2 linked regions of the Cricetulus griseus genome follow. The protein of the gene in region 1 purifies or fractionates together with the protein of each later gene. This does not show direct contact. Links are inferred from orthologs where the notes say so. Each region holds a gene or a part of one and is shown on either strand. Other genes may lie near its edges. The genes, in order: Lztr1 and Rit1.

Region 1 (3,808 bases):
GAGGTGAAAGACTGCTTGAACCATAAATTAGAGGCCAGCTTGGGCACCACAGTGAGAACCTGTCATGGTGATGCCTCTCCCTAACCCCAGTATTCAGGAGACTGAGGAAGGAGGAGGATAAAGTTGAGGCTAACCTGGACTCCATAGCATAGTGAGTTACCTGCCAGCCTGGACCACTTACAGCAACAACATAACTTGAAAAGGAAAGGAGAAGGGAGGATAGGGTAGAAGAGAGGGAGGGAGGAAAGGAAAACAAAGTTTTGGGGGTCTCAAGGGCGATGGGGCTTGGATTGCCTGGCTGACCCCTCACTGACTTCACCCTGTGCCTCTCCCAGAGCCTTTACCACTGGCACCCCACCAGCTCCCCGTTACCACCACTCAGCTGTTGTCTACGGGAGCAGCATGTTCGTCTTTGGTAAGCAGCCTTGCCCTCCCACCCCCTCACCCTCCATGAGGCTCTCTGAGCTCTGTTGGGTCAGGGTTCTCTTACCCCACTAACTGATTTTCCTAGTGTCCCTAGCTCATGGGACTGGGTGTGTCCTCTGATGGCTAGGGCAAGAAACATCAATGTGCCTGTCCCTGCATCCCAGTGCAGAGGTAATTTGGGTGGGCTAGGGGTTGTTGCTAGAGGTTTGTACATGTTAACTAGGACCCCCACACTTAAATACCAAATAGTACCCCAGATGTAACACTTTGCTTTCATTCTCTTCACCCAGGGGGCTATACTGGAGATATTTATTCCAATTCTAACTTGAAGAATAAAAATGACCTCTTTGAATACAAGTTTGCAACTGGCCAGTGGACAGAGTGGAAAGTTGAAGGGCGGTAAGTGGTTTTGCAGAGAACTTTCACAAGAAGAGAGTGGACTTAAGCCTGGGATGTGCTTCCTGCCACTTTTCAGATGGGGAGCCTGTGGCTGGGAGACTTTAGCTGCTTAGTTTTCATCACTGCTGAGTCCCATGTGGCAGGGCTAGACAGGACATTTGCAGCAGGCTGGAAGCTGCGAGCTGTGCTCAGGCATTGCCTCAGCCCAATCCCAGGTGTACACCCCTTCTTTCTCAGGAACTGGGTGGGCTGATCTGTGAGTACACCCTTCACTATTTTAAGAGCAGCTGGGAAGGTGCTGGGCCTATGTGGACCACAGAATTCCTTTTTTTTTTTTTTTAATTTAAAAGAGGACTCTGACTTTTTATTTTTATTTATTATGTATGCAGTCTTCTGCTGGCATGTATCTGGTGCCAGAAGAGGGCACCAGATCTCATTACAGATGGTTGTGAGCCACCATGTGGTTGCTGGGAATTGAACTAAGGACCTTTGGAAGAGCAGCCATTGCTCTTAATCTCTGAACCATCTCTCCAGCCCCCTCAAAATTTCTTTTGGTTGTATTTTGTTTTATTTATTTTTTCTCAGCACTGGGGATGGAACTCAGGGCCTCATACTAGGCAAGCTCTCTGTCATTGAGCTATACTCCAAGGTCTGTATCTGACTTTCTCCTTCTTTGCGACAGGCTCTAATGAGGCTAGGCTGGCTCTGAACCTGCTGTGTAGCTGAGGAAGGCCCTGAACATCTGGTCCTCCTGTCTCTGGCCCCTGAGTGCTAGGGTTACAAGTGTACTCACCATACCTGGTTTTGTGGTGTTGGGACTCAAACCCAGGGTTTCGTGTATGCTGGAAAAGCAACCTACAAACTGAGCCACATCCCCACCCCTTAGGAGGGGTTTTGGTTTTGCCTTTGTGTTTTTCGTTGTTTGTTTTGAATCAGGGTCTCACAGTCCCACTGACCTCGGGCTGGTCTTGAAGTTCTGACCTTCCTCCTTTCATCTCCTAGTGCCAGGATTTACAGACACATGCCATCATGCCTGGTTTTATCATCTGAATATTTTACACATCTGCTGTTCAGACCTCTTGTGCTATTGTTTGCATCTAGTGCCCCAGCACTGCCCTCTGAGCTCCAGTGTCAGGCCGTTGTGGCCCTAGCTGCTGAATACACAGAGCCCTTGCTTCAGGATGTTCCGATGACCTTTCCTCGTGTGTGTGTGTGTGTGTGTGTGTGTGTGTGTGTGTGTGTGTGTGTGTGTGTGTGTGGGTGTATTTTCCTGACATATATGTCTGTAACACATGCATGTCTGGTGCCTGAGGAGACCAGAAGTGGGATTGAAGTTCCAGGGGGTGGTTGTGAGTGCTAGGAATTGAACCTGGGCCTCTTGAAGAAAAGTGAGTTTTCTTCAGTGCTGAGCCTTCTTTCCAGCCCCTCCTCATGTTTTTCCTTATGTTCTAGGTTGCCAGTTGCCAGATCAGCCCATGGGGCCACAGTGTACAGTGACAAGCTCTGGATCTTTGCTGGCTATGATGGCAATGCCAGGTAGGCAAGTAGCTGGCCATGTACCCTACCTGTGCATGTCCTCAGGGGCAGAATAAGCTCTCTTGGCACCTGAGTGCTCAGGCTGGGGTAAGTTGCCCTGCTGGGTTTTGAGTCTCTCAGGAGAGGGGTATGGAGGTGAGGCTTCTGAATGGACGGACCTCCTAGCCAAGTCTGTGATCCCTGGACTTCCTCAGATGAGGAGATTTGGAACTACAGGGGCCTGGAGGCCAGAAGCATCTCAGCTTAAAGCCAGCCCTGTGTTCCTCCCTGTGTTACAGTTTCCTCTTTATTTATTGTTTTATATTTTGCTTTTGTTTTAAGACATGGTCTCAGCTGGGTGGTAGTGGCACATCCCAGAACTCAGGAGGCAGAGACAGGCAGATCTATGTGAGTTCGAGGCCAGCCTGGCCTATAGAGCAAATGCCAGGATTGCCTCCAAAGCTACACAGAGAAACCCTGTCCTCAAAACAACAACAACAAAAAGACAAGTTCTCTCTCTAGCCCTGGCTGTCCTGAAGCCCTCTGTGTAGATCTGGCTAGCCTGGAACTCACAGAGCTCCTCCTGCCTCTGCTTCCTGAATGCTGAGATTAAAGGTGGGGGCCTCCACACCAGGCTTCCTCCTTGTTTTAGAAAGTTGTTTTGGGCCTGGAGAGATGGCTCAGAGGTTAAGAACACTGGCTGTTCTTCCAGAGGCCAGGTGTTCAATTCCCAGCAAACACATGGTGGCTCACAACCATCTGTAATGAGATCTGGTGCCCTCTTCTGGCCTGCAGGAATACATATAGGACAGAACACTGCATACATAATAAATAAATATATCCAAAAGTATTTAAAAAAAGAAAAAAGAAAGTTGTTTTATTGTATTTGTCTGGTAACCAAACAGTGCATGCTCATTTTAACTGCAGCGGTGCAGAAACCAGTATCGGCACAGTGGAGCAGCAGGCTTTATGGGACACATCGTCTTTTCCCTGCCCCACGTATCTGGCTCTGTCCCATAACCCCAGATGTTATGTATAAATCTACTTCTGTTTTGGCTGGTCAGAGAGCCAGCAGGAAGTGAGAGCTGTTAGAGGCTGTGTGCTGGGATTTGATGTAGATCTTCCCCGGAAGTTCCTGTTTCTTATAAGAAAGATGGCACAGTTGTCTCCTGACACACGTGGCAAGTGGTTCTTCCCTGGAGCTCTCCCTCCCAGCCAGGCTCAGGGCCAAAGGATCCTGACTCCTCCATCCTGATGCAGGTTGAACGACATGTGGACAATTGGCCTCCAGGACCGAGAGCTCACATGCTGGGAGGAGGTGAGGGGTGCAGGGAGCATGATGCAGGTGGGAAGTCAGGGGCACTGGGGACCGGGTTGCAGCATCCAGAGGTGAGGGATAACGGAAGCTGGTATACGGGTGAGAGGTGCTAGGGTGGCATATAACAGTCTGCCTTCTTCCCCTCACCAA
Region 2 (4,598 bases), on another chromosome or scaffold:
CTAGCACAGGGTCTCGGCAAATTCTGAGACTGGCCATGAACCTCCTCCCTCAACTTCTCTAGTAGCTTGGAGGATAGTTGTTTGTTGTCACATCCAGTTCTTGAAAAGTTGCAGCAGAGTGTGAGGGTGGCACATATCCCAGAGCTCAGGTGCTGAAGGCTGGGGGCTTTTGCGTTTGAGGCCAACCTATGTTGTAATTTTTTAAAAGCAGCTTAAGAGAGAAAGAGCATGCAACAGAGTTCAAGCGGAGTTTTGTTTTTAATTAGGAGAAAAGGATCTTAAGGGGAGGAGCAGCAGAAGAGAAGAAAAAGATGCAGATAGAGAAAGGAATAGGGAGAGAAAGAAAGGGTGGTGAGCAGGGCCCTTTTAAAAGGGAATATAGTGAATAGGCACAGGTGGTCTTAGTGGCAGCAGCTGAGGCATATCCTGTCAGAACTCCAAAGGCAGGCCAGTCCAGATGCCTAAATACTAGCAGCCTGGGCTACATGAGACTGAGTGAGACCCTCAAAACAAGATATAGTAATTGCACTTGGAGCAGGATTGCTATGGTTTTTGAGGTCAGCCTAGGCTGTAAAGTAGGACTTAATGATCCCTTCTGCTCCCTCCTGATTGCCCCTTAACACTGTTATACCAAGAGACTGACTGGTCAGGAACCAGGAACTGGATGCCAGCTTAATCTGTGCACCCTACATCCTGTTGGAACAGAAAAGGGAAGTGGAGTTTGCTGTGATGTGCAATGTGAATGAAAACAATGCCCACTTATTGCTGGGTTCTCATAAATTTATGACCTGGAATTCCTAAGAGACTTGCTTTTATTTATTTATTTTGGTTTTTCAAGACAAGGTTTCTCCGTGTAGCCCTGGCTGTTTTGGAGCTGAATTTGTAGCCCAGATTGACCTTGAACTCACAGAGATTCACCTGCTTCTGCCTCTGGAATGCTGAGATTAAAGGTGTAATCCACCACACCTGACTGCTTTTTGAAGAACTAATGTGTACATTTTACCTGCATGTATGTATGCGCACTGCCTGGTGCCTTCAGGAGCACAGAAGAGGTTGGTGGATCTGTGAAACATGTTATGGATGGCTGTGAGCCACCGAGTGAATGCTAGACACTGAGTCCAGATCCTTACAAAAGCCACAAGTGCTTTCACTACTGATAATCTCTCCAGAGATCGGTTTTTAGGACAGGGACGCTGCAGCCCAGGTAATGTGGAACTGATCTTCAACTGCTTGCTGCCAACACCTCTCATGCTGGATTTATAGGCATGTGCCATCATATCTGGCTCGTATCTGTTTTAATATTTTTAAAATACAGAACTTCAACTAGATTAACTGGTGCTAAGAACATCTGGTCTTGGTTCCAAGAGCCTTAGATGTGACAGCGTTTTATGGTAAAAGGCACCGCTAGTACTTACAATAAATGAAATCCTGTATTTTGGTAAGCTTGAGGGGATGTGGTTATGTTTTGCTGTGCACCGGGTAACAGATTTTTTCTTCCCCCACCAGTAGCAAATAGCCCTAAGTTACTCACTTTAAAGGTTTCTGTTTCGTTTAGTGGAACATCCATTTATGTACGTGCAAGCCTTGAGACATAGTACGTGACCAGAGGGCTTTGCGAGTCAGAACTAGGCGTGGGGTGGAGCAAAGTGAGTGTCGGCTGTGGGGCGGGGCTCCAGGGTCCCTCCCCTTCCACCGGCGCCATCTTCCTGGACCCGGGCGGGGCACTGGGCTGTGCGGCGCCGCTCGGGAAGGAACGCGGTCTGCAACCCGGATTCGACCGGCTTTAGAGGTACAGGCACAGGTGGGCAGGGACGGGGAGCGGGGCAGCGCGGGACGAGGGGAGGCGGCAGCCGGGCGAAGACCTGGAGGTGCCAGGCAACCCCCAGGACTCATCCGGCTCCTTTCTAGTGGAACACTGCCTTAGTCTGAAGAGAAGTCCAAGTTGTTTGTATTTTCCTGGAGAAAGTAAGTTTGGAAATCTGTGCTGTGTTTTAGGACCGAGACTAGCGGGGGAGGGAGAAGACGTGGGTTTCTTGGTGTTCCTCAAGGAGCAGGGTAGGCCGCGGTGTTTGGGAAGGCGGGGGCTCGTCGTCAGTGGCCGACTGTCTCCATCCTGGATTGAATGTTTCGTGCCTTCTCTAGGAGGCCTTTCCCAGGGGCCCACGACTGCTCCAGAGGACAATGGATTCTGGAGCTCGCCCAGTTGGTAGCAGCTGTAGCAGCCCTGCAGCGCTATCAAGAGAATACAAACTAGTGATGCTGGGTGCTGGTGGCGTTGGGAAGAGTGGTAGGTAACCTTTTCCATTTGACAGAAAAGTTTGAAAAGCACCTAAGGGACCAGTAACCCAGACCAAATGGGTTACTGGCTCTTGTGCAGAGTTGCAAGGTAAAATACTTTATGGTCACTGTCATGAGTTCCATTTCTTGTTTTGAAGCCATGACAATGCAGTTCATCAGCCACCGATTCCCAGAAGACCATGACCCCACCATTGGTAAGTCAGATCCTCATTTATATTTCCAGGTACATCTGTGAAAGTATCTTAATAGATTTAAAGTTTAAAAAAAAAGTATATATCTTGAGCTTTTTTGTATATGTAATTCATACTTATTTAGAAACAAACAAACAAAAAAAAACAGTTGACTATTTTTTTTCCCTAGACTTCATATGTACATAAGCCATCTTGAGCCTTCGAGTTAGGTTGAGCATTAATAGACAAACGGCCTTTTTTTTTTTTAATGGTTGTATTCTGTATTGTTAGATTAAAGGAAAGTTTAAAGGCTACTCAATGAAACCTTTCTTGCTATCACTTCTAAGGGTCTGACATGAGAGTAACCCTATTAGTATGAGTCAGCTGGTTTGAACTTCCACAAAAGGAAGCAGAAAAACAAGTAGAGCCAGCCTACTGACCTCTTAGAACCGAACTTCCACTTGAAGCTCTTCATTTATTTCCTTATCCCGGCAGCTCATTCTATAGCAACATCTTGTGTGGCTCTGTAATCTTTGGCTGTCAGATGCTGGTAGAGTGCCATTAGACTAAATCAGTCCTTTTTTTTTTTTTTACACTGGGGATTGACCTGAGACTTCAACCCAACCATACTAGGCAAGGGCTTTACCACTGAGCTTGATTTACCCAAGATTACCCAAGATTTGTTTTGTGTTGTTTTCTTTTGGTAAAACGTTGAGCCTAAGCTAGCCTGAACACATAGCACTCCTTTTGCCTTAGTCTAGGACTTCAGACATGAGCTACCCATGCCCAGTTCTATAGTGTGGGCTGTATTGTTGTTGTTAGTTGCTATCTTGTGTTGACTAAAAATGTTCCTCACTCCTAAATCACAAGGAAGCAGTTTTTGGCTTTGTTTTTTGTTGTTGTTGTCGTTGTTTTTGTTTTTTTGAAGCAGGGTTTCTCTGTCGTGGTTGTTCTGGAACTGGCTCTGTAGACCAGGCTGACCTCAAACACAGAGATCCACCTACCTCTGCTACAATTAAAGGCATGTGCCACCACCCAGCAGCAGTTTTGATCCTGAATGATTATATAAAAGAAAAGTAGGGCTGCAGAGGGCTCTGCCATTAGCTGAGAGTGATGGCACACATCTGTAATCCCAGCACTTGGGAAGCAAAAGCAAGAGGAACATGAATTTTCATCAGCCTGGGTTACATAAAGAGTTACAGGCCGGCCAAGAATACTAGTGAGATCCTCTGTCAAAACAAAAACAAAAATCTGCCATTCTGTGGCTGTGATCATTTTGATTATCATATGCTTCTATAGGTTTGGGAAAAATGGAAAGGAACACTTGTCTTTTTAGTGAGTTGTATGGGGGTTATTTATTTTTTGTGCTAGGGATCAAGCCACGTACATGCTGTACCACTGAGTTGCACCCTAGCTCTGCTATATCAACTTGAGAACATTGTTTCAGAGATTCAGACTGTGGTGTGGGAACTCTGAATACAGTCAGTTCAGGAGTTAGGATCATTTACTTTGTTCTAAGCAGTAGCTCCAGGCCACCCACTGGTGGCCCCTAGTGCAGAGCCCAAATTCAGAGTTGTCTCAGCTCAAGTGATACTTCACTAGAGGGACATTGCTTGTGCTAGATGGCGAGGTGGGGTCAGTGTCTGCCCTCTGCCCTGCAAGAGGAGTGTTTGCCACCCCTGCCCTCCTGCACTGCAGGAGTGTGGGAAGACTGGCTGACAATCTGCCACACCCACCTAGTTATTCTGCCCTTGTTTATAGTGAGAACTAGCCACGCCTAGAGATTGGCTGGAAAATGTCACATGGTCACCTCAGTTGGACTGGAACTTAGACCCTGATCTCAGACTTCAAGGGTCTAGTGGCCCATATCCTAACATCACTCCTTGGTAGGAGGGTAGAAATGTCCTACACATCCTTTATTCTATTCTCCTTCCTACACAGGTTTTTAGAGCTATCAAAGTAGGCTGAATTCTCTTTGGTCATGTCCATGGTGCTCTCTTTTCTTGTTCTGTGTTATAATTCTGACCAATTGCTCAGAGCTCATCTCCCTTCGTTCACAGGTACCACTGACTGTCTTTTATTTTAACATGGTAGCTAACGTGCAGTATAGTGAAATTCACTGTCCGTCAT

The links.
Region 2: the proteins of Lztr1 (region 1) and Rit1 purify together in Homo sapiens (affinity purification with mass spectrometry; 3 studies listed by BioGRID and IntAct, counting the BioPlex papers as one, with this or other methods). This does not show direct contact. The link is inferred for Cricetulus griseus from reciprocal best matches to the Homo sapiens genes LZTR1 and RIT1.

What each region holds. Positions count from the first base shown.
Region 1 is NC_048597.1:71,798,280-71,802,087, reverse strand, and holds part of Lztr1 (leucine-zipper-like transcriptional regulator 1), read left to right. Parts: intron 1-335; coding exon 336-415; intron 416-716; coding exon 717-825; intron 826-2,277; coding exon 2,278-2,361; intron 2,362-3,600; coding exon 3,601-3,658; intron 3,659-3,808. UniProt on the Homo sapiens protein: Substrate-specific adapter of a BCR (BTB-CUL3-RBX1) E3 ubiquitin-protein ligase complex that mediates ubiquitination of Ras (K-Ras/KRAS, N-Ras/NRAS and H-Ras/HRAS).
Region 2 is NW_023276806.1:65,816,503-65,821,100, reverse strand, and holds the start of Rit1 (GTP-binding protein Rit1), read left to right. Parts: upstream 1-1,647; 5' UTR 1,648-1,789; intron 1,790-1,908; exon of another isoform or gene 1,909-1,965; intron 1,966-2,142; 5' UTR 2,143-2,181; coding exon 2,182-2,287; intron 2,288-2,435; coding exon 2,436-2,492; intron 2,493-4,598.